Linked DNA regions of Coturnix japonica. The protein of the gene in region 1 binds, or shares a complex with, the protein of each later gene. Links are inferred from orthologs where the notes say so. Each region holds a gene or a part of one and is shown in the gene's direction. Other genes may lie near its edges. The genes, in order: TAF1B, POLR2K, POLR1B, TBP, POLR1C, TAF1D and RRN3.

Region 1 (3,500 bases):
CACTTGACCAAGCTTAGTGTGCTCAGATGAATAATAGCTGATACTGCACTGTAACGATCCAGCATATCTGGCATATTGTACTTGCAATACAGCCATCCTCTCTCTAGTCTTTTTCTTTTGCTGTATAAAATATTTCAGCTCCTACATCTCAAGACAGCCTGGAAGCAGTTGTAGCTGTAGCTTCCTTGCGTGTGTCTGTGAGTGTATGTTCTGCAGACTGCACATGTACACAATGCTGTTTATGCTCAAATAAAATGTGATTGAGGTATGTGTATATGTGTGAGTGCATCACAGAGCTGTGCATTTGCCAGTTGACTCAGCCGTGTCGATGCAGGACTAGCAGTACCAGCCACGTGGACGGTTAGTGTCATGTCCCTGACAGTGGGCTTCCTTGTGACAGATGTTGGAATAATTTGTATTAAGTTAAATACAAAAATTATTTTCTTCCCACAGGCCAACCTCCCAGCACCCTCTGTGCAGAGGAGTTCGAAACAGAACTTTATCCATGTCATTGCATTTTAATAACTGACGGGTCTTTCTTCCCCTTGTTTGTCCATTTCAGGCCAGCTGTAGTTCTTGTTTGTAAGGCCTCTTGTGGCAGGATAACTTGAGTAGCAAAAGCATAGAAGACATACAGAACTTTGCTTATAAGAACAGTATATTCACCTTCAGAACAGTTTGCCAGCTAGCTCTTTAGAAGTGAGCATGATGCAAGCATCCTTGCAGAGCAGCTGGGGTGATGGGGAAATGCAAAGCCTGGTTAATTCATGATGCAGATAATACACCCACGGATAATAAGAGTTGGTTATTTAAATTTACCCTGCACCATAGTTCTGTTCACAGTTCTTATACTTATTGTACCCTGTTGATCTACTTCAATCCTGTGCCTCTCTGGAGTATCAGTGGTAAACATGCTGCTGGAATGACTTATGCCTTAACGTTTTTGCATGCACTGCTATGTATTTGTTCACATATCAATGAGTGAGAATCCAGTGTATGTGGGACGCTGGTACTCAGTGAATACAATTGTCTGGATTATCCTTCTTGCCTTGCAACATCTCATGGGCAGCAGGATGGATGGTGTGGGGTTGGGGGTTGGACTCGATGATCTCTAGAGGTCCCTTCCAACCCCTACAATTCTGTGATTCTGTGACACTGCTTCACCTCCTACATCTGAGCTTCAGAATTTGTTTAGAACTAAGCTTCTACAGTTTCATGAATTCCTTGAAGTCAGATTTCAAGCAGAGGAAGAAGACCAGTTAGTGTTGTGGAGATCTAGTTCTGGTAGCAATTACACTTAACTTTCAGAAAGGAGGGAGAAGGATTAACTTGTCTAAAACTAGGAAACATATTCTGAGCAGAGGTGTTTCTTCCCACCTCTTATGCTGTTCCTTTCTAGTATTTCTGCTTTTCATTTTCTCTGTCTTACAGAAATGTTGGGTTAAGTGTGTTTTCTATAAGCAGATGGAATTAAAGATTTGCCTACAGACGGGAGATGCAGAGTCCAACTGCATGGTGACCACATTCTATGTATCACATTTCTTTCACTCCTTCACAACCTAAAACTAAATTACGAATGTTTTATTCAGGTGGCCCTTATTTCGAGTTCAAAAAGTGGTACAAGGTTATAAAATGTACCTTGGATGTGGAGCAAAAAAAACTGGATGAAGAAAAGGCCAAGTAAGAGATTTTTAAGTACTGGATAATGATAATAGCAATATTAAGGTAGATGATTGTAAGTGAAATCCTGACCCCCCACAGGAGCTGAAAAAGTTTGGACTTTGCTCCAATGTTCCCATCCTGCACATTTAGGTGAACAGTGATTCCATCCGTGTCTCAATTTTCTGTTTACAATAATGATATTTATCCAGCATGTTGATTAAACACTGTCTGTGACAAGTAGCTTATATAATTGAACAATTAACTGATCACAGTGAATCTAGGCTTACATTCCTCCATTTATCTATGCAGAAAAAGGCTGCTGTATGTTTTGGAGGAGGTGTCTTTTAATGGTGTTAACAACAGATTATTTTGTTTTTATTTTAATAGCTGTATCTAATTAAGAAATTACGATTTGACTTGCTTTTTCTAGTTTTCTTTTTCCTAACAGTTTTTATTTCTCTTACTTGTAGGTATCTGTGGAAATGTGAAAAGCCCCTGTTTTATTCACTCAAGAAGAAATCTAAAATCCTTAGGAAAAGACGTGAGTAAACTCCACCTCTTTCCGCCAGCACAGAAGTCTGCCCCAACTTTTCCCATCATAGAAATTCTGACTGTAATAATATTTACATCTTAAAATACTTTCCCTTCAGTCTTTCATCTCTGGGCACAATGAATGTTGTACTGTTTTACAACCCGTGGCTGGAATTCTTCAATCAGACGTTTTCCTACTGCTTAACTGAAACTGCAGCCTTCACAGTGATCTACTTAATGTAGTCTCAGAGTTAGTACTTTGTCCTCATCTCACTCATCTGTCAGCTGCCTTCGTATTACTGTGCTCTTCATAATTTTTTGTTGATCTTCCATGGCTTTTCAGCTCCTCTCTCTTTCCACGTATATATCACGTTTGTCCTTGGGTAGACCCTCCTGTCCCTCTTTTCTCCTAGTTACTCTTGCAGTCTTCTACAGAAGGTGAGAAGGATTTCTCTGAGTGTGGTTTTGCTTGAACAGCTGGTTGTTCATGGTCAGAATGAAGATCCCTTCCTTTTAATATATATGGAAGTATAAATTAATTACTTGGTTTGGAAGGGACCTTAAAGATCATCTAGTCCGAGCTCCCTGCCATAGGCAGGGCTGCCACACTTCAGATCAGGAACCCAGTGACTGGGTTTTACTATTCCATTTAAAACAAACAAAAAATCCACCAAACAGAAACAAACAAACAAAACCAACAGAGACTGCACTCATCCTTGTAAATAGGAAAACAGGAATTTTATTAAACTAAATAAAACCTGAGGTTCTTCATTCTACTTTTGATAGTAGTAAGCAACAGGTAGTGGGAGAGAGGTGTTAATGTGGCAAGTGATGTTTTTCTCCTTAGATACTCTTCCCGTTTCTGGAAGCGACTGATCCAGGAACTTTTAAGCTCGTTATTATACTCCTGTTTAGTTTGAATAATTCATGTTAGACTTACTGTGCAAGAATGCATTGGGTTTTTAGTAATGTTTTTATCCTTCAAAATTCTGTAGTGGTGATGTCGCAGTTAAGTCACATTCTGGGTAAAAACAGATTTGTTTATTTCATTCTGAAATGGTTTCCTCAGGAGCAATTTAGTTCCCTTGTCAATAGGAAAAATGAAAAACCATTTGTTGTTCATTAATTCCATGCCACTTTATATTCTCCGTCTGGATCTTGTTCTCTTTGAGATAGGAAAGAACCAACGGGATCATTGAGTTATTGCAGCCAGGAATCTCACATCATATCATTTCAACAAGGCAAGATTCATCTTAAGTTTTAAATAGTAGAGACAAGGAATGCCTATACAAAGAGTCCCCTAGAAC
Region 2 (4,279 bases), on another chromosome or scaffold:
TCAGGAGCCGGGCTGAGGCGTTCCCGCTGCTCACAGCTTCTCAGAGTCGGGCGGGAGGCACCTTCAGCGGGTAGCCCGAGCCCTCACAGGTGGAACGTTGTCTGCACCAAGAGCTTAAAATCTGAGATGTAAGGGTGCTGATTAATTCATTTTAATTAGCTTATTTGTACCCGACAGCTCAGGAGCTAGATAATCATACAGAACTTCTGTTTTTTCTTTCATGGTTTACGCTTACGGCTCCACCAGAAACACTGTGAGATAAAACATGCTTTAAATCGTTGGGAGTAACTCCGAATGTAACGCCTCCACCCAGGGCAGAAAGATGGAGGTTCTCCGTGGTAACTAAGGCTGAGCAGGGCGGGCTCCATCCCCCCCAGAGCGGGGAAACGGGGCGTCTCGGTGTACGGGTAGTGCGACCGGAGGGTAACTGTAACGGGTAAAAACATTAGGGTTTTTGCGCTGGTTCCTCGTTCCATTTTAGAATGCGAATTAAAGAGTTTAGAAATGGAATCCAGGGTTTCCCAAAGTGCTTTCTGTAGCAGTTTCACGCCAGTCGGAAGAATTTCTCTTCAGGACCGGCGTTTATCAGCCCGTCGGAACGGGGCTATACCCCGAGGGAGGCGGCGTGAGGCACAGAAGTAATGGACGTTTAAAAAGACTCCATCCCACCGGGGAGCAGTTAAATGATGGATATAATCAAGATAATGAATGATTTTCTCGGGACAATCGATATATATTTTTTTCTCATGGGGTATAATTAGTAAGTAGGTTTTAAAGCATCACCTCGATGCTTTAATCATTTCGTCAAACCCGTTTTAAAATACAAAACGAGTGCGGGGAAAGATTATCGGCTTTACTTTAATTTCAGTGATTAGTTACTTGTGAGGTGTTAATTACTTTGTGTCCATCACCGGAGGAAGGGATCGTTCCGTTTTGGTTGGTTGATTTTTGCTCCCGGCAGCAGCTCCCACCTCGGAGGACCCGGGGCAGCGAACATCACTGCCGTGCACGTCCCGTTATTCTTACATGTGTTTTATTCCGGCACTAAGAAGTTACACTTAACTTTATTTTCGCACAGCAGCAAGACAAAGCCGATGAGCCGCCTAGAAATCCTTAGCACGTTGTTATTACTTCTAGCTTTCCCCAGGAGACGGTTGTTATTCGGCGTTCGGAAAGACGCATTTCCTCACATCAGGGAGATGTTATCTACAGAGCAGTATTTGTTATACGTTCTTACGTACCTGAGGACGTGCCATTACTCACACAGGGACGCCTAAGGGGCACCCAGCACTCGCCCAGCTGTAGGGCTGAGCCGGTGACTGACAGCACCGCGGCTTGCCAGTTTGTTTCAATGCGGGAATACATGGCACAGACCGCAGGGTACCGAGATTTAGTTACCAGCGCCAGGCTCAGCTCACTAGCGCTTCCAACTCTCACTCCCCCAAGGCTCCATCAGCCGCTATCCGCTGTAAACCCGACACAGCGCCTTAAGGACGGCGATGCAGACCCGCCCCCTCCGGCTTTGCGTAGTGACGCCATCATTCGGCGCCGAGGGGACGGCGAGGAGTGTGGAGGTTGGTGCCGCTTTCGGCTTATCCCTGCCGGGTTGGTGGTGGTGGTAGATTCGGGGTGAGGGGGGAGTGGGGAAAGGGTCGACCAAGCCCCTGGGGGTCAGTGGGGAGGAGGCGTGGCTGGCGCTGAACCGAGGCGGGCTGGGGGGGGATCATTGAATCATAGGCTCATAGAATGAGCTGGGTTGGAAGGGACCTCAAGGATCATGTAGTTCCAACCCCCCTGCCTGGCAGGGCCACCAAACATACACATTTACTAGATCAGGTTGCCCAGGGCCCCGTCCAACCTGGCCTTGAACACCTCCAAGGATGGGGCATCCACAACCTCCATGGGCAGCCTGTTCTAGGACCTCACTGGTCTCCTAGTGAAGATCTTCCCCCTAATATCCAACCTAAGTCTACCCTCTTTCAGCTTAAATCCATTTCCCCTTGTCCTGGTATTATCAAGAAGGGGAGAAAAAATGCTTTCTTTCTCTGTATGGTCACAACCTTAAAACGTAGGTCTGCAGTAATACCTACATGTTAGGTGGGGGTTGCTAAAAAATGAATTGTTTGTGGAGTAGTTGTCTGATATTGTGAAGGAATGTTGGTGAACCTGAAGGCAAAAGGTTAGCGTGCCAGGACAAACAGAAGTCCTTTCCAATGTGTATCATCTTATGTAGCATATATTAAACAGAGCTTGAATATTTTTGTATTTATTTTAAAAGAACTTTTTCAATTTCTGTCAACTTTAGATGGAGATATTGAAATATTTGTGTAAGACAACAACAAAAAACATGTATTTTATTTGTTGTTTTTGCTTAGAACATGGATTCACAGAAGGACGTTCAGCCCCCAAAGCAGCAGCCAATGATTTACATTTGTGGAGGTAAAGAAAAGACATTAGTGGTATTCAATGCTCTAATAATGAGGAATGTGCAGTCATAGTGCCACAGAGTACAGAAATCTACATAACTGGGTTGTGGATCCTGATGATGCATTAAGCTTTATGCACTGATGCTCCCATATGCATGGATTACTTGTGGTTATTGATGTGGAAGTCGTTCACTAGAACCTCTGTTGCTGTGTGGGGGTCCTGCATCTCTAGAGGATGATAGCAGAACTTTTATATATTGCATCTTGGAGACAAAGTTTTTTTGGAAATAGTGTTGTCATTCAACTTTCACTAATGCACAGTTGTCAGATTTTCTCTACCTAAACATAAGTTAATAAAGTGAAAATTGGAGCTTTTGAGTAACCACTTTAAAAGCCTCAGAAAAATTTAGGCTTAAGAAAATAAACTTGGTGGCTCGGAGGGGCTGAGAGGAAGGTTTCATTAGTGGAGTGTGGAATGGTACAGTAATGTTTGGATACTTTTTAGCAATCTAAGTTTGCCAATTCTTTTTTTTTTTTTTTTCCTTAACAGTATCTTAATATAATTCAGTTACTTATTAAAATTCACTGCAATTATTTTCTGTTATGCTTTGTTTGCTAGTAAAAGGAATTAGACCATTGTTACATCTGAAAGCTATCTGTGCTTTAGATATGCTGCTTTTGTTCACTCATTGCTATTCTCCTTCTCCATCATATCAGAATGTCATACAGAAAATGAAATAAAGGCAAGAGATCCGATCAGATGCCGAGAGTGTGGGTACAGAATAATGTACAAGAAAAGAACAAAAAGATGTATCCTTTTACAAAGGCAGTCGAATGCATTTGGGAAGCTGTGGGGCAAGCTGTGTAAGAAAATTGACTTCAGATTTATGCATTCCCTCTTTTTGTTCTCCTTGACCCCTTTCCTCCCCTGATCTTTCCTTGAACTGCAACGCATTTTTCTTTAACTGCACAATTCCAGTGGTGGTTTTTGATGCCCGGTGATTTGACCTGAAGATACATCAATTTTATACTTCAGTTTAATATTTCTGGCAACTTTGCTCTGTAAATCCATTGGTGTATAAATGCATAGTTTAGTGGTTTAAGATATTAAAATATTAAACTTCACTGTGATACTACTTGCCATACCATCTCAATTCTGTCTATACTACTTTTAGAAATGGGTTTCTTCCTTAAACTTTAGTCAGAATGTGCAGCATTCTGTTAAATTCATTGGTATTATATTCATTTTTGAGTTAAGTGTTAACCTTGTTTTCACAGCTCACACCTAAGCCTTACCTGTGTTTCAGCTCTTCAGTGTTTTTTGGACTCCTGTGAACTGCATAAGATAATCTTGGTTTGAATAAATCCCAGTGAAGACATATTGAAAGTCACGCAAAATCAGGTCTGAAATTTGGATTTGAACTCGACAGGACCCAAATCAGGATAAAAATAAATGTGTAAATAGAGATTCTCAGGCTGTTTTGTGACCTTGCTTGTACTCACTAAAATAAGTAGGTCTACAGTATAAAGAAACCTTGGATAAGGTAAAACTGAAATAACGTCATTTTGCTTTTCGGATGATTTCTCATGAGTCTGTATTAAGAAGTGGTTGCCGTTTTGTACTGATAAGCCCAAACTTTTTGCATCCATTTTCCTGTTCAGAACATTTATATTCAGAATATTTAATACTAAAATACCCATAGCGCCAATTTGTCTTAAAAAACACTGCTGCTTTGTGTGTGGTGCTAATTTAGCCTGATTAAATGCTTGCAAATCCAAATTTTGTTTCCAGTGCTGATGAGGCTGTTGAAAGACAAACATGTCATTTCACTGTTATCTGTACAGTATGATAC
Region 3 (3,500 bases), about 74 Mb from region 1:
GTTACTGAGATGCTTAGAGCAGTAGCTGAAGCACATTGTTACACGCAACAAAACGTCCTCGATTACCTTGGAAAGAGCTTCAGAGTAAAACTCAACCTTCCCGAGTGGTACAGCAATGAGCAGGCTGCGGATTTCATTTTCAAGTACGTATGTACATGTTTAGGAGTGTGTGCTTGTGCTATTGCATTGAAATTCAAGCAACTTTAGGAATACTCTGCCATATTATTTCACACTCTCATTACGGTTTTTGTACATGCTAATAAAATAGCAGCGGGTGGCCAGTTCTTGGTGGAACTTCAGGATACTGTGATAATCTATTCTGTTCAAGTTGAAAGAAGGGGAAGTTGTGTGGACAGCTTTAGTTTCAATAGGTTGAACCATTAGGGTAATTTGTGGCGTTTTATCTGCTGTTTCACGCAGTCATTAGCAACTATTACGCGAATTACACTTAAATGATAGGAATTGGATGTTTTAAAGTCTCCCTTTTTCAATGGAATAAGTTAGGAAGAAATGGAAGAGAGGGGTTTGAGATTGCCAGCGTGACAAGCATTCAACTAACTTTCTTTTTCGGGTAATACAGATTTTAGTTCTTTGACCAAGTGTTTTAGTAAAGTGTTTTGAAAAGTATCATTTGAGATGCCCAAGTCCTTGAGTACCTGGAAATAAGGAGTAATCATCAGGTGTCTAAAAGCACTGAGGCAATTTTTCAGTGCCTCAGAGAAGCACTTAGAATTGTTGGAAGAACAGCTCTTTGTACTGAGAAACAGCGGATAATTTCAAGAAAGTCATACTGTAATTTTCTTCAGTCTAAATACTCTCGTGCTTTTTGGTGGTGTCTTATTGTCCCGTGGTATGTTCTGTACGCAATGTTTGTCAAAGCTGTCTGCGCTGTGGAGATAAGAGCAATTGTGGAAAGCATCAATTGGGGTGTACTTTGCATTGTAACTTCTACCTGGCCAGAACTTTCTTTGAATGTTTGTTTTTATGGTGAAGTTGTACAGACTTCAGAAGAGGGCGCTATGGAGCAGAGGTACAGAGTGACCAGATCCTGTGTGCTCATATTCTGGAAGGTTGTTGTGCTTACATCTTGGAAAGCAGGTTATTTCTGTTGTCTTGGAAGGCAGTTTAGCAGCTTTACTGCTTGCATTAAAATGTCATTCAGCACACGTTTCCACACAGGGATTTGATTGCAGTGTTCTGTGATCTGTTACTAGTCTCCAGCTTGGATTTTGGGGTGGAGTTGGGCACATGTATATGGTTATGTAGTGGTGTTTGGTGTCATACCTGCTGCAAAATAATGTACAAATCTTATCTCTTAAGTGGGCCTGTGTATGTGAACTGTATACTTGTAAGGATGTGTAGTAGTATATGATATACATTTTTTCCATGAGGCTCACCTTCATGTGATCAACTGGCTGTATCTTTCTAGCAACAGGGGGAAAAAGATTTTGATATTATTTAGCAAACATGAAGAACTGCTGGCGTGACGAGCTGGTGTTAATTGTCCTTCTTTCTCTCCCTCCAGCAAGTGTATCTGCATACATCTGACAGACAGAACTGAAAAATTCTACCTGCTTTGTATGATGACCAGGAAACTGTATGCTTTTGCCAAAGGGGAGTGCATGGAGGACAATCCAGACAGTCTAATGAATCAAGAAGTGCTTACTGCAGGACAGCTTTTCCTTATGTTCTTAAAGGTAAGGTCATAAGGCCTGTGTATGGAGGGGTCATCCAATCTAGGACCTGCAGTGGCCAAGGAGATGGGAGAAATACAGAGCCAAACTGAAGAGCAGGGAGCCTTGGTATACTATAAAGACTTGAATCTAATGCAGCACAGCACGAACCGCACTAAATAGGGGCCTGAGTAAAACATGGAGTGAAAAGCTTTGGGACCTTCAACAGAAATGAAAGCTCAGGCTTGGAGTCTGGCGAAGGAGGAACACCAGCTCGGAGGGTTTTGAAACAGCATATTGCTGTTGTGTCAGTTGATAGATTAGTAATAAAGATCAGCCTCTTTGTGGTGCTCCTGCTGTGTCACACAGCAGATGTGCAAGTAAATAACTGTCCCATCCTCTTTCTTTGAAAATCAGTGATTTATATTGTCATTTCTACCCCGTCTTTGAGTTCTTTTACAGATCAGGAAGTTAGGAGTATACTTCCAATTTACACTGTTAATTTATTACTGGTGGTGTAAAAGTGCAGCTTCCTAAACTATTCCAGTTCACTTTGGATTCAAGTTATTTCTGGCATTTCTTCATTGTAGAATGCCAAAAAGAAAGTAATGCTCAGAAGTGAAATTTGTCAACCCCAAGTAATAAAGCTTCCCTGAGTTACCAGATAACTTGTAATCTTTCTTTGCCATGTTAGCCAAAATCTTTAGCATCGCTTTGTTGAAACAATTCTAAAACTTGTCTACTACATGAGTGGTTTCAATGGCTGTAAAAAGAGAATAAAAAATGAATTATGTGAAGCATTGTAGCACTTTCCCAATCTGGTACCAGGAAGCAGAAGGGATTGCTGTCCTGTCTGGCCCTGTCAGATAAGCAGAGGAGTGAGCAACCTCTCCTGTAAATGCAAAGACTCTAAATAGACTGGCTTTCTGTTGCGTAGATAACTGAGCCACTCATTAAAGTGTCTGTGTTCCTGTATTTAATTCAAGTCTCACATTCTTAAACCACAGGAGAGGCTTGAGAACTGGTTGCAGTCTGTTAAATTCGTTTTGGAGAAGAAAACAGAAAAGGCCAACATCACCATCAATGCAGACAGCTTGATGAAGGCGTTCGGTCTGACCACAGATGTTACCAAGTCATTTGAGTATCTTCTTGCAACTGGTAACCTGCGATCTAAGACTGGTAAGTCTTAAGGTATAAGAAGCCCTTTTTTTTACCTAAACAGCATGAGAAACAACATAAAACTGAGCAACATCCTGATGTAAACCTCTGTTTTGTTCCTCAGGCCTTGGCATGCTGCAGGACAGCGGTCTGTGTGTGGTGGGGGACAAGCTGAATTTTGTTCGCTACCTTTCGCACTTCCGCTGCGTTCACAGAGGGTCAGTGTTTGCCCAGATGAGAACTACCACGGTGCGCAAACTGCTGCCGGAGTCCTGGGGGTTCCTGTGCCCTGTGGACACCCCAGATGGAGAGCCCTGCGGTCTGATGAACCACATGACAGCTGTGTGTGAAATAGTGACAGAGATGGTTCCTGTGACAGACCTTCCACCTATGTTATGTGCTCTAGGTACAGTTTACTTGCTCAGTTATCTAATGAAGCAGTCTTCATTTTTACCTTTCTGCCCTACAAACCCATATGTGGAAAATGTTCTAGTAACTTGAATTAAACTGCAGCTCCTCCAGTGATTAGCACAGTGATGGGAGTTTTGTTTCATCCAGAAGAGTGCTGGGGCTGGATGGGAAATGGCATTCTCACTTGTGCACATTTTATGTTTTCCATCCAGTCTCCTCTACCACTTTGCCCTGTCCAGATGTTCTGAATTTTTTCTG
Region 4 (3,985 bases), about 51 Mb from region 1:
CTACACCTAATTGTACTAAAGCAATCTTCCACTGGACAGTAACAGAGAATCAAAGATACTACACAGAGTTACAGGCTCATTCTTCCATTTCAGTCCTTACAAGGTGCAGACTTACAGTTTGTAGCATTTGGGGCTGTCCCGGCTGTGAATTGCATAACCTTCACTCAGCCGTGTGTCGGAGGCAAACAATGCTGAAAGTCTTCCCCAGCGATCGCCAGCACAGTCCTTAAAGAAGAGCATTCATATAATTCACACAATTGGCACAACTTAGTTCTTAGGCAAGCGATGAACAGCCAGAAGAATAACAGAATGACCCGGGTTGGAAGGGACCTCAAGGATCATGTAGTTCCAACCCCCCTGCCTGGCAGGGCCACCAAACATACACATTTACTACATCAGAGTTGCCCAGGCCCGTCCCAACCGGGTCTTTGGAACACCTCCAAGGACGGGGCATCCACAACCTCCCTGGGCAGCCTGTTCCAGGGCCTAACCACTCTCCTAGTGAAGACAGAAGGCAAAACGACAACGAGCAAGACGCAGCCCAGCTCACCTCCCCCCGGCCCATCCCTGCCCGCGGCTCTCACCCGCCGTTGAAGGTGTATGGCGAGAAGCGGTACTGCACAGGTCCGCCCAGCCCATATCCCGGCTCCGGCCTCAGCTCGGCGTATCGCGCTGCGGACAGCATCCCTACGGCACCAGCCCTGCTGTCTCACGGCAAAATGGCGGCACCGGAAGCGAGGAGGCGGCGCTCTACGAGGCACAGGCACCTCGTCTCGTCTGCTCTGGAGGTACCACGCCCCATCGGCGGTGACCACCCGGCCGCATGGAGCCGTGCCAGCCTTCGGGCGGCAGGGCCGGCAAGCACAGCAGGCTCTCGCCATGAGCACACCAGCACACCGTGTGCCCCGGTGGTGCAGTAGTAGCAATGCCGCTTTGCAACACCGCAGGCCCTGGGTTCGAATCCCCCCTGTGGCGCGTGTGGTAGAAGTGCCGCTCTGCTACACAGAGGCTCGAATCCCGGGGGTTGGACTCGATGATCTCTAAGGTCCCTTCCAACCCGCACCACACTGTGACACTGTGAGCACGGCACCACACGCTGTGCCACGAGGTGCGAGTAAAGCCAACACCCCGCAGACAACAGCCCGCAGGCCCCGCCCTCACTCAAGATGGCGGTAAGAGGGGCGGGGCGGATTCGTGGCGGAAGTGACGCAATCGAGGCGCGCCGGCGGCGCGGTCTCGGGGCGCAGCCTGTGTCCCGCAGTTGCGGTGCTGGTTGTGGCGGCGCCGCGCGGCAGGTACCGGCCGTTCCGTGTCCCGCTCCGCCCCGCAGCCCACACGGCGCGGGCTGTGCCGCTTATGGCGGGGGGGGTGGCCGGGCCGAGCCCGCTTCTTACTCCCCGTGGGCGCCGCCGTAGGGTCGGGGTCCTGCGGGCGGGCCCGAGCGGCGGGGAGGGGGGGAGGGAGAGAAGGGATGTGCGGGGTGAGCGGGCCGCGGGCCGAGCGGAGCGACGGGAGCGATCCCGGTACGGCCGTTGGTGCCGGGGGCGTGATGGCGGCGGGACGCGGTCACCGCCTCCCACACGTGACGGCGGGCGGGGAACGCGGCGGCGGCGGCGGCCTTGGGTTCGGTACGGGAGCCGTGATCGGCCCTTGCCCTGCACGTGGGCCTGGTACCGGGGCTCGGCGGCTGGGTTCGGTGTATGTGGAGTCCGCGCGGCGTGTTGGGCCTGAGGATGGGCTGCCCGTGATGCTGGGTAACGGCTGGGCCCCTTCTTTGCACGGTGTGCAACGTGGAAACGCCTTTGGGTAAAACAGCGGGTGGTTAATGTGATACTGAGTGCCTTAAGGACGAGAGAAAGATGGGCAGGCTTTCTTCAAATGTTTCAGTGCTGTGCCTTAAAATGGCTTAGGAGCTCTCTGTGTAAGTGTGCAGTTAAGCTATAAATGAATAGGAAAAATATCTGATAAAAAGGCTTAGCATTTCATAATATAGCTATGCAGAGAAGGAGCTGGGTGTTTGCAGACAGCAGGTTGGCCATGAGTGTGCCCCGGTGGCCCAGAGGGCCAATGGGATCCTGGGGTGCATCAAAAAGAGCATGGCCGGCAGGTTGAGGGAGGTGATCTCCCCCTCTGCCCTGCCCTGCTGAGGCTCCATCTGGAGCACTGCGTCCAGTTCTGGGCTCCCCAGTTCAAGGCAGAACAAGGAGTAGTGGACACAAACTGCAGCATGGGAAGCTCCGTACAAATAGAGGAAGACAGAGCTGCCCAGAGAGGCTGTGGAGTCCCCTTCACAGTAGGTACTCAAAACTTACCCAGCCACTCTCCTGCTGTAGGGATCCTGCTTTAGCAGAGGATTGGGCTCAGTGATCTCTGGAGGTCACTTCCAGCCCTTACAGCGCCATGAAAGCATTTCAGTTCTCTATTTGTATTGTTTCTTTCCATTGCGTGCCAATAGAGGTACAGGTCTTTGTTTAAAAGGCAAAAAACAAACAGTAAGTGAAACAACACCCAGAAGAATACTTTCGTTTCATGCATATACCTGGAATTGGCTTTTAGTTTCCCTTTTTCCCCTCGTGAAGTACGTCATTGCAATTCAAAATACATTAGTGCTTTGCTTTATGGAAGTAGATGGGAGGAGGTTTCCTAAACCTGAGTTTACCAGCAGTATTTTCATATAGCAAAATCAAAAAACAACTTTGGAAGGCCAAGCCTTAACTCTGCCCAGGGGGAGATGTGTGAGCGAAGCGTGGCTTTAGGCTCGTCTGTCAGTAGCTGGTGGAATTCAGTTCTGAAAGTCAATGCTTTCCCATCTGAAGCGATGCATGCAGGACTGGAGCTGTGTGTGAAGGAGGCCTTCGTTGTGGAGGCGGCTGCTCACGTGCAGTGGATGTTCACCAGGGGCACTAGGGCTGTAGAAAGAGATTGCTTTATATAAGGTGCATGGGTGTGTGCGTGCGTATGAGTGTTCTCGCATATATTTGTATGTGGGCATTTCTTATCTAACAGACCAGCTGATAAGCCTGCTTTTGTTTAAATGTTATTCTCAAGATATTACTTCTTTTCTTTTCAGGCCCTGTTTAGTGTTTTAGACTCGCAACGTGTTTTCTCTGGAGCTGATGTTTTCCTGACACGTTTTCAGCTTGGCTAAAAAGCTGCTTTGCTGGAATGCTTTAGAGGGTCAAAAACCCTTTTTGGTTTTAAATTAATTTCAATTAATTGAAGGAAATATTTCTGGCCTCACCAAAGAATAACCGGAATCATGGATCAGAACAACAGCTTGCCACCCTACGCTCAAGGCTTAGCCTCCCCTCAGGTAAAAAGGGATGATGTGATATGCAAAAGCGGTCTGAATTTCTTTGTGGGAGTGTTTTCTGTGTCTTGTATGTTATTTCTTTGTGTCTTTTTTTGTTTGTGTGTTTGCAGATCTGAAAAATTCTACTGTATATAACTTACTCAGTAAAAAGCAGAGATGAAAAACCATTTATATATAGATAGATAGATAGATATGGGTATATATAGATATATATCCAGAGGTTTAAGAAATACACTGATATATTTATGGTTTTCATGAAGCTGAAACATTACTGGCATGTTGAAAATAAGAAGGTTCAGGGGAGACCTCATTGCAGCCTTCCAGCACTTGAAGGGAACTTGCAAGCAGGAGGAGGGGGGCTGACTTTTTAACATGGTCTAATAGCAGTAGGACAACGGGGAATGGCTTTAAACTAAAAGAGGGAAATTTAGGTTAGATGTTAGGAGGAAATTCTTTATTCAGAGAGTGGTCAGGCACAGAGAAGCCTGTGAAGCTTCTCTTGGCCAGAGAAGCTGTGGATGCCCCATCCCTGGAGGCATTCAAGGCCAGGTTGGATGGGGCCCTGAGCTGGTGGGTGGCAGCCCTGCCTATGGCAGAGGGTGGGACTGGATGGACTTTCCCTTCCAACTCAAGTCATTGTATCATTTTAACTTTGTTCATTGCTTTTGGAAT
Region 5 (4,297 bases), about 60 Mb from region 1:
GTTTCCTCTCCCTTTCCAGTGTCATTATAGCAATCCCAAACCCGGTCAAAGCACAAATGAATCACTGAGACTCGCCATACAATGATAGTGTCCGAGGTCTTCATCCCATGCAACAGGATGGCCACCAGCGTGAAGACCAGCATGAGGGGTCCGTAAAGCTCACCTGCAATCTTCTACATGTAAAGAGAGAGATGAGGCTTAGTTAGTGCTCCTGTCTTCCAGGCTCTCCACCCTGAGAGACATAACGAGCATCTTGGAGACTTTTATCACCCGAGGAGCATCTGCAAGGCCACTGCTGACAGAAGCCACACAGAACAGACTGTGATGAGTCAGAGTGGTGTTCAACAGGATGCAGAAATGGGCAAAGTGAGGTCTAGAGTTCTACAACTGTACCAGCGTTAAGGGTAGCAGGAAGGTAAAGGCAGCGCTGGCACAGGCTGTGCAGGGCAGCGGTCACAGCAGTGAGCTGGCTGGAGTTGAAGAAGCATCCGGACAATGATCTCAGCTATATGGTCTGATTTATGGGTGGTGCTGTATGGAGCCAGGTGAGCCTTATGAGTCCCTTCCAACTCAGGATGTTCTATGATTACAATTCTATGAGAATGGGGTTTGGAACAACCATAGGAAAGGGTTTACTGATACTTTGAGGGAGGTGAACATCTAACAGACTTGGATCCTTAATAACAGGCTAATTACATCTGAGGGGTCTCTGTGGAACAGTCACTCAGGCTGTGGGGTCTGGTTCAGTGAGAGAGAACTCACCTGTGGGAAACTGATCATCTTGACGGGCACCATGGACTCCAGCAACCTGCATTACGGCACAGCGGGGAACGACATCAGGACAGTCATTAAGAAGCAACAGATCCCGTGCACCCGCTGCCCTGCCCACCTGGTGCGCACTTGGACGGGCTCCACGTCGAAGTATGGCCGCAGGATGTCGATGTTGGCGTAGAGGCTGAACGCTTTGGACGCCTGTCGCTTCCCCACCTGCCACATCTGCGGACAGAACGGTACGTGCAGCGGCGGGGCCGGGGCCGGCGGGGCTGTTGGCGGCTCGTGAGCCCACTCACCTGGTCGGCCACCTGCCGGCCCAGCTGCCCCTGCAGCCCCTTCATGCCCAGGAACTCGCCGTCCTCTTCCCCGCCGGCCCCCGCCTCGCCCTCCGCCTCCTCGTCCTCCTCCTCCTTCATGCGCTGGTGCATCTCCCCCATGTCCTCGAAGCTGGAGCCCGACGTGTCGTCCATGTTCTCCATGTCGATGACGGCCGAGCCGCCGCCCTGCTCCGATGCACGGATCGTCAGCGCCCGCTCGGGCCCCTCTGTCCCCCCCCCCGCGGGCCGGCCCCACCTGCACGTTGTCCTCAAAGCCGCCCCACTCGGCGGTGCCGCTCCTGCCGCCCGCCGCGGCCATAGCGCCGGTAACGGGGGACGGCAACGCGGATGTGACGGTCCGGCCGCTCCGTGTCTCGCGAGAGCCGTCAGTTCCGCATGGCCGCCTTACGTGCGGCGGGGCGGGGCGGCGGCGCGTCCTTCCGTCGGCGATGGCGGCCCGGCGCGGCACGGACGAGATGCGGGAGCGCGTGGTGCTGGGCGAGTTCGGCGTCCGCAACGTGCGTGGGGCGGCGGGACGCGGGGCGGCTCCCGCATCACCCCCCGCTGCCTCACGGGCTGCGCCCCCCGCAGGTCCACACCACTGACTTCCCAGGCAACTACCCCGGGTACGACGACGCGTGGGACCAGCGGCGCTTCGAGGAGGTGAGTGGGAGCTGATGGAGATGATGGAGCTGATGGAGCTGCTGCTGCGGGGCCCCTTGTTCGGCTCCGTCGTGACGCGGCGCGGTTCCCGAGCAGGGGTTCCGCGTGGACGTGGTGCGGGAGGAGGACGGCGTGCTCGAGTTCGACATGGTGGGCATCGACGCGGCCATCGCCAACGCGTTCCGCCGCATCCTGCTCGCTGAGGTACCGCGGGGCTGGGAGACATGACGAGTGGATGGTCCCCGTGCGGTGCCCTGCTTGGCGGCTTATCGCCTCGCTCTGTCGTCCCCCCGAGGTGCCGACCATGGCTGTGGAAAAGGTGTTTGTGTACAACAACACGTCCATCGTGCAGGACGAGATCCTGGCGCACCGACTGGGCCTTATCCCCATCCGGGCCGACCCGCGGCTCTTTGAGTACAGGAATCAAGGTGAGGGGCTCGGGTCGAACAGCGGTGGGGAGGGTGGAGCCCATAACCAGGAGCTGGGGTCACACCGTAGGATCATGAAGGCCATCAGGTCCAACGATCCCACAACATACAGGGACTCCTACATCTGACCAGGTGCTCAGAGTCCTGCCCAGCCTGGCCTTGTAAGTCTGCAAGGACAGGGCATCAGCCGCATCTCTGGGCAGCCTGTTCCAGTGCCTCACCACCCTCATTTTCACCACTCTCACTCAGTAATAGACTTTTTCTTTATCTCTAAAGTAAATCTACCCTCTTTAAGCCTCAAACCGTTTCCCCTTCTCCTATCACAGCAGACCCTGCTGTAGAGTCTGTCCCTTTCTTTCTTGCATGCTCTTCCTAGGTGCAGAAAGGCCGCTTCCAGGTCTCCCTGCAGCTTTCTCTTCTCTAGGCTGAGCAGCCCCAGCTCTCAACCCATCCTCGTAGGAGAGATGTTCCATCACTGGGTCATTCATGTGTCCCTCCCCTGGATACACTTCAACAAAGCAGAATTCACTTCCATAAAGATACTGTTTTGCCATTTCCAGGAGATGAAGAGGGGACGGAAATTGATACTCTGCAGTTCCAGCTGAAAATAAAATGCAGCCGGAATCCTCAGGCAGCCAAGGAATCGTCTGACCCAAACGAGCTGTATTTCAATCACAAAGGTGAGAGCTCCTTGTGCCTGCCCTAAAAGTAGGTGCAGCTTTCTGCTTTTTCTCTTGTTCATTTTCTTCTTTCTCTCTCTTGGTGTTTTGCCTTGTGAGCAGAGACAGCTCATTTCCTCACAGTATACATAGCTTGCTTGTGCCATCTCCTATTCAGGTCAGCAACCTGTTTTCTGAGGCAGCAGCTGGCTGATGCTCGTGGTTTCTTTTGGCAGTGTACAGTAAGCACATGACATGGGTTCCCTTGGGGAATCAGACAGACCTCTTTCCGGATGCTGACTTCCGACCTGTCCACGACGACATCCTTATAGCACTGTTGAGACCTGGGCAGGAAATAGATGTGCTCATGCACTGCGTCAAGGGTGTAGGTGAGTGCTGGGTCTGAGCTGGGGAGTGGGTGTGCTGGTGCTTGGACTCGAGCACAGCTGTGTGATGGGAAACACTGGAGAACTAGCTTGACCCCAAGGCCTGTCCTCATCCTTAATTCTGAACTCTTTGTGCAGGTAAAGATCATGCCAAGTTTTCTCCTGTGGCCACAGCTAGTTATCGACTGCTTCCTGACATCACTCTCCTGCAGCCTATCGAGGATGAGGCAGCCGAGACGTTACAGAAGTGCTTTTCCCCTGGAGTCATTGAGATCCAGAACGTCAAGGGTACTTTCTTTCCAGCTGTAAAGTGCCTCGTTCCTAACAAGTCTTAGCAGTGACTGAATAGAGACAGTAGAGATTGTAGTCAAACCTTGTTGGGAAAATAACACATTGCGATGTTGTCTTGCTGATCAACAACAGTTGGTGCTGTTTTGAGCCTGGTTGTAGTGGCTGAGTGGCTGTCACACACAAATGTTTTTAGCAGTGAACTGAGATCTCCCTGAAATGCTTATGTGTTGCATGCCTGTCTGTAGAGCCCTGTGCTACTGTTAGGTGTCTGGGTAGCGAGCTTGCTCTTTGTAACAGCTGAGCACGGGGAGGACTTGTGTCCTGCCCAGGAGCACATACAGGCTTTGTGTTTGGCTTAGAACTGTTCGAGGAAATGAATTCTGCCAAGCTGGAGTTTCATGTTAGGGATGTGCTAATTATATGTGGCTTTGCTGCCTCTGCTGCTTGAGGGGTAAGTACTTTTTGTGACCCCAAGGTGCTCATCTGCTGCCGGTGCCCACCTTGTTTTGTCTTCTCCTTTTAGGAAAGAAGGTGGCAAGAGTAGCCAACGCACGGTTGGACACGTTCAGCAGGGAAGTCTTCCGACACGAGGGTCTGAAAAACCTGGTGCGCCTGGCCAGGGTGCGAAATCATTACATCTGTAAGTAGCCTGTTTTGTGCAGAGCAGAGTGCCCAGCCCGATTCTGCTTTGTACAAACAAGCAGGGGCTGGCCAGTGTGCATACCTTGGTCTCAGTCTTTCCCTTCTACTTGGCATCGTTATTCTTCCTATGTTTGTAT
Region 6 (4,167 bases), on another chromosome or scaffold:
AACAAAGATAATGGTTTAGTAATTAAAAACACACTGCTTTCAATATGCAATTTATCTGTCAAATTCACCCGAGAATACATAGATAACAGTAGAATTGTTATTATACCATTGAGGGAAAAACTGACAGCTTCAAGATTAGTGTTTTCTCATGGTTTAGTGGCAGCTATTAGTGGTTTAGTGGCAGCTATTAGTAATATGTGGATGGTTGTACTGAATAATCTTTCAGGTCTTTTCTAACCTTGGTGATTTTATGATTCTATGTGCTTTGGAAGCAGGTGTGCCTACCAGCTCTGCAGCTGCTTCAGAGCATTACATCTGTTAGTCCTCAAACTTCCATCTCAGTACAGACAAAATATGTAATACGCTGAACCTAATTCAAGGGACAGGTCAGTTATCTGTCCTTTGTAAACCCAAAGCCACGCTTTTCTAAGCACAATAACTGCCTTACCCGGTCTTCACTACCTTAATGTTTACTTTTCCAGCATTGGCTATGATGGACTTTCAACCTTGGCTCCCAGTTTCTTATAGGCACGTGTTTCCAAAGTGGAAGAAGGTTGTAGTGCATCTCAAAGCCAAACAAAGGCACCAAAGCAGCAGCAAGTTGTACAGCACTGGACTCTATATCAGCTCAGAGCCTTTCACAGCAAGCTTTGTTCAGAACAGAAATGTTGGAGCTTCTTTTGAAACGAGCTATATTTCAGTCATGCAACAGCATAACCTGCTACGAGGGCAAACCAGCAGCTCCAGGCACAAGCAGCTGGTTACATGCTACCTATAAACCAGCCCCAGAAATCATTAACTCCTTAGGCACACGCCTGCTGCACGTAACAAAATAGGAACCTTTCATGGAAGAAAAAGCGAGACTTTGAGCTCAAAGTTCAGCTACCTCAAGTTCTGCCTGTAACAAGCAATAGAGCAAGAAAGCAAGCTGTCTATGTAGAGTGATTTCCATCTTAGCTGGGGGCTCGTCCGCTTCTATGGGCGATTCTCCCTTCTGTGAAGGAAGCTGTCACAGGAACGCTGCAAACGGGATGGCAGGAAACAACCGACACGTCGAGACACTGCGGCTTTTCTTTTCCAAGCAGGAAAGGGCAGAAAACGGAAAGGAGAAGTTAATGGCTGGATAGAAACGCTTCATAGCGGGGGGCTGGGGGGAGAAGGAAGCACAGCCAGAGCCACAGAGCCAACAGGGACAGCGCCAACGTGCAGATGAACTCAGCAGAGAAGCGAGAAGGGAAATTCAGGCCACGTAAACGAGGGTAAAAAGAGTCTAAAAAGAGTCCCGGAGCCAAACCTGCAGGAGCCACCCTCTGGAGACCCACAGCGAGCGGGAACCGCAGCCAATGCCCACAACCTGCGGCCGCCCATCCCCGCCCCCCTCACGGCACTCCCCGCCCCGTCCTGCTCTCGCGAGAGCCGAGCGCTATTTAAGCTCGGGGGCGGCCATTGCGCGCCCTTTCCGGAGGTGAAGCGTGAGGTGAGTGTTGGGTTGGTGATGGCGGTGCGCTGAATCCGCTGCCATCCGCCGTGTGAGGACCCGCTGTGAGGCTGGGGTAGAATCAAAGCACATCCTGTCGCTGAGCGATTCCTAGACGGAGCGCAAGGAAGGCCCTGGGGCGGGTGGGATGTGGGAAATGGGCTCCTCATGGCGGCCCGGGGCTGTGGTAGAGCGGCGGGAACCGCGCAAAATGTCCGCCCCGGGATGGTGGGCGGGAGGGGGCTACTGTGAGGGAGACACATACGTTCCTTGGATGTGAAAAGCTTTGCCTGGGGTAAAACATATTTAATTTCTTTCAGGGCAGATTAAAACATGAGTGATACAGATGAATCCCACACCTCTTGTTCTGATGATCCTGATGCTCAGAGTCTCGTATCCACTCAGAGGCGAAAAAGATCTAAAATACCTGAGCGTGCAGTGAATGCAAGGAAGAGACGTTTGTGCTCGAGGCAGAAGGACGCCACTCCTGAGGAGTCTTCAGATGAGACTAGTAGTACAAATACATCTTCATCTGAGGTGGATAGCAGCGATTCAGAAATGTGAGTTACCTGGTTCCTTAGAATCACTTACGAACAAGACTCATAAACGTATGTGCTCTGTTGAATGTACACGTTTCTTTTTCAGTGATGTTTCAGCTGCTCGGGGCAGCAAACGCTCTAGGAAATGCACTGCTCCCTCTGCGGAGCAAAAGAGGAGATCGCAGCCTTCAAGGAAACAAGCAGGAGCTGATGCACGAGTGTCTGATGGTGAAAGTCCTGACTCTTTGCTCCCTGAGAGCCCGGTGAGGCCACCTGAACCCTCCCAAAGGAGGAAATCCAAGCTCGATTTGAAAGCCATTTTTGCCTATCACTTCAGAGGAAGGAAGTTTAAAACTGCTGCGCACCGAAGATACAGGAGCGGTGTTTCACGGAAGACAAAGAGACGCTCGGAACCCCCAAAGAAGCGTGGTGGGAATCGGCCCATGACAGCCCCGCCTCAGGAGCGAAGGAGAAGGCTTCGGGATCCAGGCTTTCAGTTCCCTTTTGTTGAAAAACATTATGGGAGGAAACATATTCCCGTAAATATGGTTCTTAGCTATGAGGTGAGCCCTGTGTTTTGTGGGAGAGAACCAGCTGACCTAAGGCTGTCATTTAATGTTACAGTCTGGTTGATTATATAAATGGTTCATTTCTTTGTTTGTATTTAAGATCTATTCCTTTTTTTTGCAGCAAGCAGCTGCGAAGGGATATTTCCAGTATGTTGAAATGCTTAAAGCTGAAGAACACCTCAAAAAGGCTTTGAAATCCCTTGAAGCAAATGAAGACTTAGAAAGGGAATGTCTGACAGCGCGGAAACATAAATATTTAGATGACAAAGGCCCCATTTCTCCTATCCAGGAGACAAAGTAAGTTCATTTTCAGTAGTATAAAAGTTGCTGTTTTGTTCTCAACTTAAAGTCTGTGTGTTCAGCATTGCTGTCTTTATTGTCTGGCACGTGCATTATATTAATTGGTGAAATACCTCTTGGATTTTTCTGTAACTCAGTAATGGATTCTGTTGGCTTAGCACTGCTGTGTTGTGTGCTCTCTCCTCATCCTTAAAAGAGCAGAGAGAGAAAATAAGTAACAGCTCATGGCTTTAGATAAGGATCTTGTTCCACAGGCTCTCAGTGTAGCCTCATGTAGAAGTGGGAGCATCCCAGACCTGTAAGCTGTAGCGTTTCCATATGCATTATGAGGAAGTGGTGCTGCATTAGGAGAACAGCTTGTTTATGCTGCGCTACTGTAGAAGTACAGATTTGATTTGAATTTCCTGCCTTTCAGCAATGACGATGATAACTGCTTGGGCTCTGATAATCCAGAAGACTTTGATGTCAGAGTAGTGGTGAGTAAACATCCATAATTTGAAAACTATAACCTGTTTTCTCTTTTGAGGTGTTAAATAAGTAACAGATGATGCTTTGAGTACTTAATTCTTGAGCTTGGATCTGGAATTAACCAGTTTGTGTGGTTTTGGTGTGTAGTACAAGAGGAAATTGGTTTGAGAGAAGTCTGAGCTCTTTGGAATTATGTTGGGATGTGCGGAAATTGGGCAGTTCTCTGAAGCGTCCATAAAACTTCCTAAAGGAAGTTAGTAATAAATTGGTACTTCAAGTGTCTCCAAACCAGACTTGAGAATGCTGTTTTTTTTTGTTCTCAGGACAAAAGCTGTTTCATTATAAGCAGCAAAATTCCCAACAAGAAGAAGAAATCAAAGGCCAAAACAAAGCGAGCAAAGTCAGCTGGAGTGATTGAAGAAGAATGCTGCTGCTAAGTGATCCTGCTGAAATAGCACCTTCCGCAGCCTGGCTTGTGGAACCAGCAGGTCACAGAGCTACAGGACTAAGAGTTCCAGCTCTTGTAATTAAGCAGTGTAGAATAAACTAATTCTCCTAAATCCAATATCATAATCTCAAGCTGCTTTAAAACAACTAGCAGTGTGATGAAAAGTTCTATTCCCTTCTTCCCCTCCTCAGTCCAGAGTGGGGTCTTACGAAGGTGACTGAGCAGAGATAGAAGCCCTTCAGCACAACAGGGACTATCTGCTGATCTTGTAGCATGAATGGGAACTTGTTGCGGTTGCTCAGACTAGATGTAGGAGTGGGGTTCTGGCAGGGTAATGCAGTGAGGTGGGTGTGGAGTCCTGCTCAT
Region 7 (3,500 bases), on another chromosome or scaffold:
CGATCATCAGAATAGGGCTGTTGTGGTTTAACGTGGCAGGCTAAGCACCACACAGCAGTTTGCTTGCACCCACTGTCCTCCTTGTGGGATGGGAGAGAAGCTGGAGGGGGCTTTTAGCAAGCTGGTCTAGAGGAGGTGTCCCTGCCTATAGCAAGGGGCTTGGAACTAGTTGATATTAAAGTTCCCTTCCAACCCAAACCACTCTGTGATACTGAACAGGAATGTTTCATATTGCTGTTATGGTCTTATAAAACTTAATTTCTTGTTTGTAGGTTAGTACTCCCCAGCAAGATATTGAAGATGCTGAAGAAGCTGCCAATAACAGTGAGGAAAAGTCTACAGAGGAGGGACTTTTTGACATGGTTGTTTATTTTGTTTGCTAAGTTTTTTAGTGGAATTTTCACCTTTGAAATCCTCTGAAACTTAACTGTAATAATACATTATTGCTTTGTTGTAGCTGATCTGTAAACAGGAAAAATGAAACAGATTTTCAAGCCTGAGTAGCTGACAAATGATTAATGTATTCTCCCCATGCCAAAATTAATCATATAAATATCCAGAATATGTATGGTAGATCAGTTTCCTTATGAAAAAAACTCAGGCAGCTGTATATAAAGCTTATTAAAGAATTAGTTGTAATTGACTTAGTTTACAAAAATGTTGCTTAGACTGAGCTGTACTGGTGTTGCTTTAAAAAACAGCAACAAAAACTTCACCATGAACATAGATACTTTGTTTCATTTTTCTCTATATAATTATAATTAAGTTATGGCATAGTGGTTACGCACCCTTCATATGCACTATCTTACCTACCAGGAGGAAGATGATGAAAGAAAAAAAAACGAAGTTGTCTCTCCCAGTAATGAGAGAATGGCCCATCCACTTGCAGAGCGACTGGATATTTTGATGACCATCCTGTTTGCCTATATTAAAGATGTTTGCCACGTGGATGGTAAGAATACAGGAACAATAAATTTGTTTTTCTAACAAATAGGAAAAACATACGAAGAATTCTCTATTGCAGCAGCAGAAAGTGAGTCTTCATCCTTTAGTTGTAGAGTTCTGCTATTAGTGCCTTCTGGGCTTTGACTGAAGCTGAAGGTGTCATTAACAGCCTGATCTTTAGTTGGAGACATTTTGACTGCATAAATATGGCACTGTACCCAAAGTGTAATGTGTTGGGAGTAAGAATAAATAGTTTTCTTTTTTCACTGTGCTATTAAACTTCTTAGGGGGGTCAGAAAAACTTTCTAATTAACCACAGTATTTTATTGTTTGCTTTGCTGTTTTAAGTATTAGAATTGTGGATCCTTTGAATATCGTAAACATAAGTAGTAGATTAGACGAACCAGGCTTTTCACTCAGTTGGAAGTGGTAAAGGACTTGTATTAAAGGAAAAACCTGATTTTATTTATGTATCTATTAGGAACACAAATCTTACACTAGCATTTATTAAGGGGCTGAATATTAGACTTATTTAAAACAGAATGTTTAGAAAATTGTTTTATCACATTAGTGAGGCAATTTTATTTTTTAGTATTTTCTTTTGCCTCTTCTGAAGAAGCACGTTTGCAGCCTGTCAGTATTGCACATGCTTACATTCACAGATATAATCTAATGTAAAAAGAAGTATATGAGGAATAATTGAAGTTCTGGAAGGTCTCACTACAAGCATTTTATTTTAGGCGCTTTGTAAGCTTACAAGTTAGCTTGACAGTAGCTTTGCTTGTTTCTTCCTGATTCAGGAAGATAAAATGCCTTTTTCACAACATGAGGGCAGGAATGAAACTGACGTGACTCATTTTTGTTTTCTGTTTGTTGTTGTGTAGGCAAGCTTGATATCAACAAGACAAAAGATTTGTATCGGGATCTTGTTTCTGTTTTTGACAAGCTCATTTTACCAACCCATGCTTCTTGTCATGTACAATATTTCATATTTTACATCTGTAGCTTAAAATTGGTGAGTACAAAGTGTTGTTAAAATGAAGTGTCTTTAAGTCTATACTTTATATTTTCTTCAAGAGTGAGTTGCTTTTTTTCCCTATAGGTCTACAGTATGTTTTCTCTGAAGTTTGTATATCAGGATTTATTAGTATCCTTTTTCTCCTTGCTTTCTGTTACTCCTTTTTTCAAACTCCTGTTATATTTTATTATTATTATATTTGTTATATTTTCAACCTTCCCCATGCTGTTCATAAATGGCAAGCAGCTCAAAACCAGCCCATTGTGAAGGAATGTAGTAATAGAAGTCTTTTACACGAGTCAGTTGGACTTTTAAACCTGAGGCATAGTAATCTTGCAAATTTGATCAGCATCCAAAAACTGTGTTTAGCTCTTCAATTTGGAATTTGTATTTACTGATTGTTCCCTCCATTTTTCCATCTCTTAGGCAACAGACAATTTTTTCTCTTTACCATTCTGAAAGAAAAACACCTGTACTTTTGGCATAAGATTAGCTGAAGATCCACTTAGCATTATCTTTTACCTCTGACAGTGGATAGCAGATGTATTGTAAAGAATACTTGAATATAGCAAGCATATTATAGTGCTTTGTCAGAATAGCGTCTCGGTCTCTAACAATAGTTCAGTAACTTCCTGAACAAAAGCGACGTTCCTTTGCAGGAGCATTGCAGGATAGACAAATTCAAGGGGAAGGTATCTCATCACTTTTTAAATTTATTTAGTGATATAATTTTTTGGTATTTGTGTACTTTGTATGCCAACAAGTCTTGGAATATGACTATTTATGATAAAGAACCGCTTTATGTATTTCTCAAAGTTCAACTTACTGCTGTTTTCATTGGATCCTATCTCTACTGCTCCAGGGGTGGTTAATAGTTACTTCCTGTTTAAACTTGTTAATGTTTTTATAGACTTCTATGGTTTGACTAAGCAAGTTGTTGGAACTGAATATTAGCAATCTATTGTTATTACTATAACTACTCATGTTTTCTGTGTATTCCAGGGATTGGCTGAGGCATTTTTAGACCATCTCTGGAAAAAACTGCAGGATCCAAATAATCCTTCGGTGATAAGGCAAACTGCTGGGAGTTACATTGGCAGCTTCTTAGCAAGAGCTAAATTTATTCCAGTTGTGTAAGTTCTTTTGATATGAGAGCATGGATAGGTTTTGTTGACTTTAGGCTGAGTTATGGATACTCAGTATATCTGATATTCAGAAATATATGTATTTTTAATGCTCTTTTAAAGTATTTTATATGGATTCTGAGACGGGGAAAGTCAAGTGTTTAACTATTTTTGTGCATACTGAAAATATTTCAGCAAATAGATGAGAATCTTTCTATTTTGTATTCATACATTCTATATTTTTATGCTGTTAAAGGTGTGCACTCAGTGATTTTAATGGTGAACTTTAATTTGATGTTGTAATTACATGTTGGACAGTGCTTATATATATATGGTATATATATAATTTATATTATTTATATATATTTATATTTTTATATATTTATATATATAATATATATAAACAATATATA

What was found.
Region 2: TAF1B (region 1) and POLR2K share a complex: the UniProt entries of both Homo sapiens proteins name them as parts of the pol I pre-initiation complex. The link is inferred for Coturnix japonica from reciprocal best matches to the Homo sapiens genes TAF1B and POLR2K.
Region 3: TAF1B (region 1) and POLR1B share a complex: the UniProt entries of both Homo sapiens proteins name them as parts of the pol I pre-initiation complex. The link is inferred for Coturnix japonica from reciprocal best matches to the Homo sapiens genes TAF1B and POLR1B.
Region 4: TAF1B (region 1) and TBP share a complex: the UniProt entries of both Homo sapiens proteins name them as parts of the transcription factor SL1/TIF-IB complex. The link is inferred for Coturnix japonica from reciprocal best matches to the Homo sapiens genes TAF1B and TBP.
Region 5: TAF1B (region 1) and POLR1C share a complex: the UniProt entries of both Homo sapiens proteins name them as parts of the pol I pre-initiation complex. The link is inferred for Coturnix japonica from reciprocal best matches to the Homo sapiens genes TAF1B and POLR1C.
Region 6: TAF1B (region 1) and TAF1D share a complex: the UniProt entries of both Homo sapiens proteins name them as parts of the transcription factor SL1/TIF-IB complex. The link is inferred for Coturnix japonica from reciprocal best matches to the Homo sapiens genes TAF1B and TAF1D.
Region 7: TAF1B (region 1) and RRN3 share a complex: the UniProt entries of both Homo sapiens proteins name them as parts of the pol I pre-initiation complex. The link is inferred for Coturnix japonica from reciprocal best matches to the Homo sapiens genes TAF1B and RRN3.

Annotation. Positions count from the first base shown.
Region 1 is NC_029518.1:87,994,937-87,998,436, forward strand, and holds part of TAF1B (TATA box-binding protein-associated factor RNA polymerase I subunit B), read left to right. Parts: intron 1-1,589; coding exon 1,590-1,680; intron 1,681-2,132; coding exon 2,133-2,203; intron 2,204-3,500. UniProt on the Homo sapiens protein: Component of RNA polymerase I core factor complex that acts as a GTF2B/TFIIB-like factor and plays a key role in multiple steps during transcription initiation such as pre-initiation complex (PIC) assembly and postpolymerase recruitment events in polymerase I (Pol I) transcription.
Region 2 is NC_029517.1:116,286,560-116,290,838, forward strand, and holds POLR2K (DNA-directed RNA polymerases I, II, and III subunit RPABC4), read left to right. Parts: upstream 1-1,479; 5' UTR 1,480-1,499; coding exon 1,500-1,574; exon of another isoform or gene 1,575-1,605; intron 1,606-2,375; coding exon 2,376-2,439; intron 2,440-3,143; coding exon 3,144-3,236; intron 3,237-3,405; coding exon 3,406-3,428; 3' UTR 3,429-3,894; downstream 3,895-4,279. UniProt on the Homo sapiens protein: DNA-dependent RNA polymerase catalyzes the transcription of DNA into RNA using the four ribonucleoside triphosphates as substrates.
Region 3 is NC_029518.1:13,948,877-13,952,376, forward strand, and holds part of POLR1B (DNA-directed RNA polymerase I subunit RPA2), read left to right. Parts: coding exon 1-143; intron 144-1,525; coding exon 1,526-1,697; intron 1,698-2,680; coding exon 2,681-2,852; intron 2,853-2,955; coding exon 2,956-3,237; intron 3,238-3,500. UniProt on the Homo sapiens protein: Catalytic core component of RNA polymerase I (Pol I), a DNA-dependent RNA polymerase which synthesizes ribosomal RNA precursors using the four ribonucleoside triphosphates as substrates.
Region 4 is NC_029518.1:36,564,474-36,568,458, reverse strand, and holds the start of TBP (TATA-box-binding protein), read left to right. Parts: upstream 1-1,185; 5' UTR 1,186-1,295; intron 1,296-3,070; 5' UTR 3,071-3,259; coding exon 3,260-3,313; intron 3,314-3,985. UniProt on the Homo sapiens protein: The TFIID basal transcription factor complex plays a major role in the initiation of RNA polymerase II (Pol II)-dependent transcription.
Region 5 is NC_029518.1:27,798,784-27,803,080, reverse strand, and holds the start of POLR1C (DNA-directed RNA polymerases I and III subunit RPAC1), read left to right. Parts: upstream 1-1,497; 5' UTR 1,498-1,540; coding exon 1,541-1,609; intron 1,610-1,682; coding exon 1,683-1,754; intron 1,755-1,850; coding exon 1,851-1,958; intron 1,959-2,049; coding exon 2,050-2,182; intron 2,183-2,742; coding exon 2,743-2,862; intron 2,863-3,077; coding exon 3,078-3,230; intron 3,231-3,365; coding exon 3,366-3,515; intron 3,516-4,041; coding exon 4,042-4,158; intron 4,159-4,297. Other genes in the region: protein YIPF3, read right to left, coding at 81-173, 763-808, 890-996, 1,071-1,277, 1,348-1,410. UniProt on the Homo sapiens protein: DNA-dependent RNA polymerase catalyzes the transcription of DNA into RNA using the four ribonucleoside triphosphates as substrates.
Region 6 is NC_029516.1:166,172,873-166,177,039, forward strand, and holds the start of TAF1D (TATA box-binding protein-associated factor RNA polymerase I subunit D), read left to right. Parts: upstream 1-1,367; 5' UTR 1,368-1,477; intron 1,478-1,797; 5' UTR 1,798-1,810; coding exon 1,811-2,037; intron 2,038-2,122; coding exon 2,123-2,579; intron 2,580-2,706; coding exon 2,707-2,882; intron 2,883-3,300; coding exon 3,301-3,361; intron 3,362-3,676; coding exon 3,677-3,790; 3' UTR 3,791-4,167. UniProt on the Homo sapiens protein: Component of the transcription factor SL1/TIF-IB complex, which is involved in the assembly of the PIC (preinitiation complex) during RNA polymerase I-dependent transcription.
Region 7 is NC_029529.1:37,331-40,830, reverse strand, and holds part of RRN3 (RNA polymerase I-specific transcription initiation factor RRN3), read left to right. Parts: intron 1-272; coding exon 273-362; intron 363-816; coding exon 817-952; intron 953-1,829; coding exon 1,830-1,960; intron 1,961-2,965; coding exon 2,966-3,096; intron 3,097-3,500. UniProt on the Homo sapiens protein: Required for efficient transcription initiation by RNA polymerase I (Pol I). Required for the formation of the competent pre-initiation complex (PIC).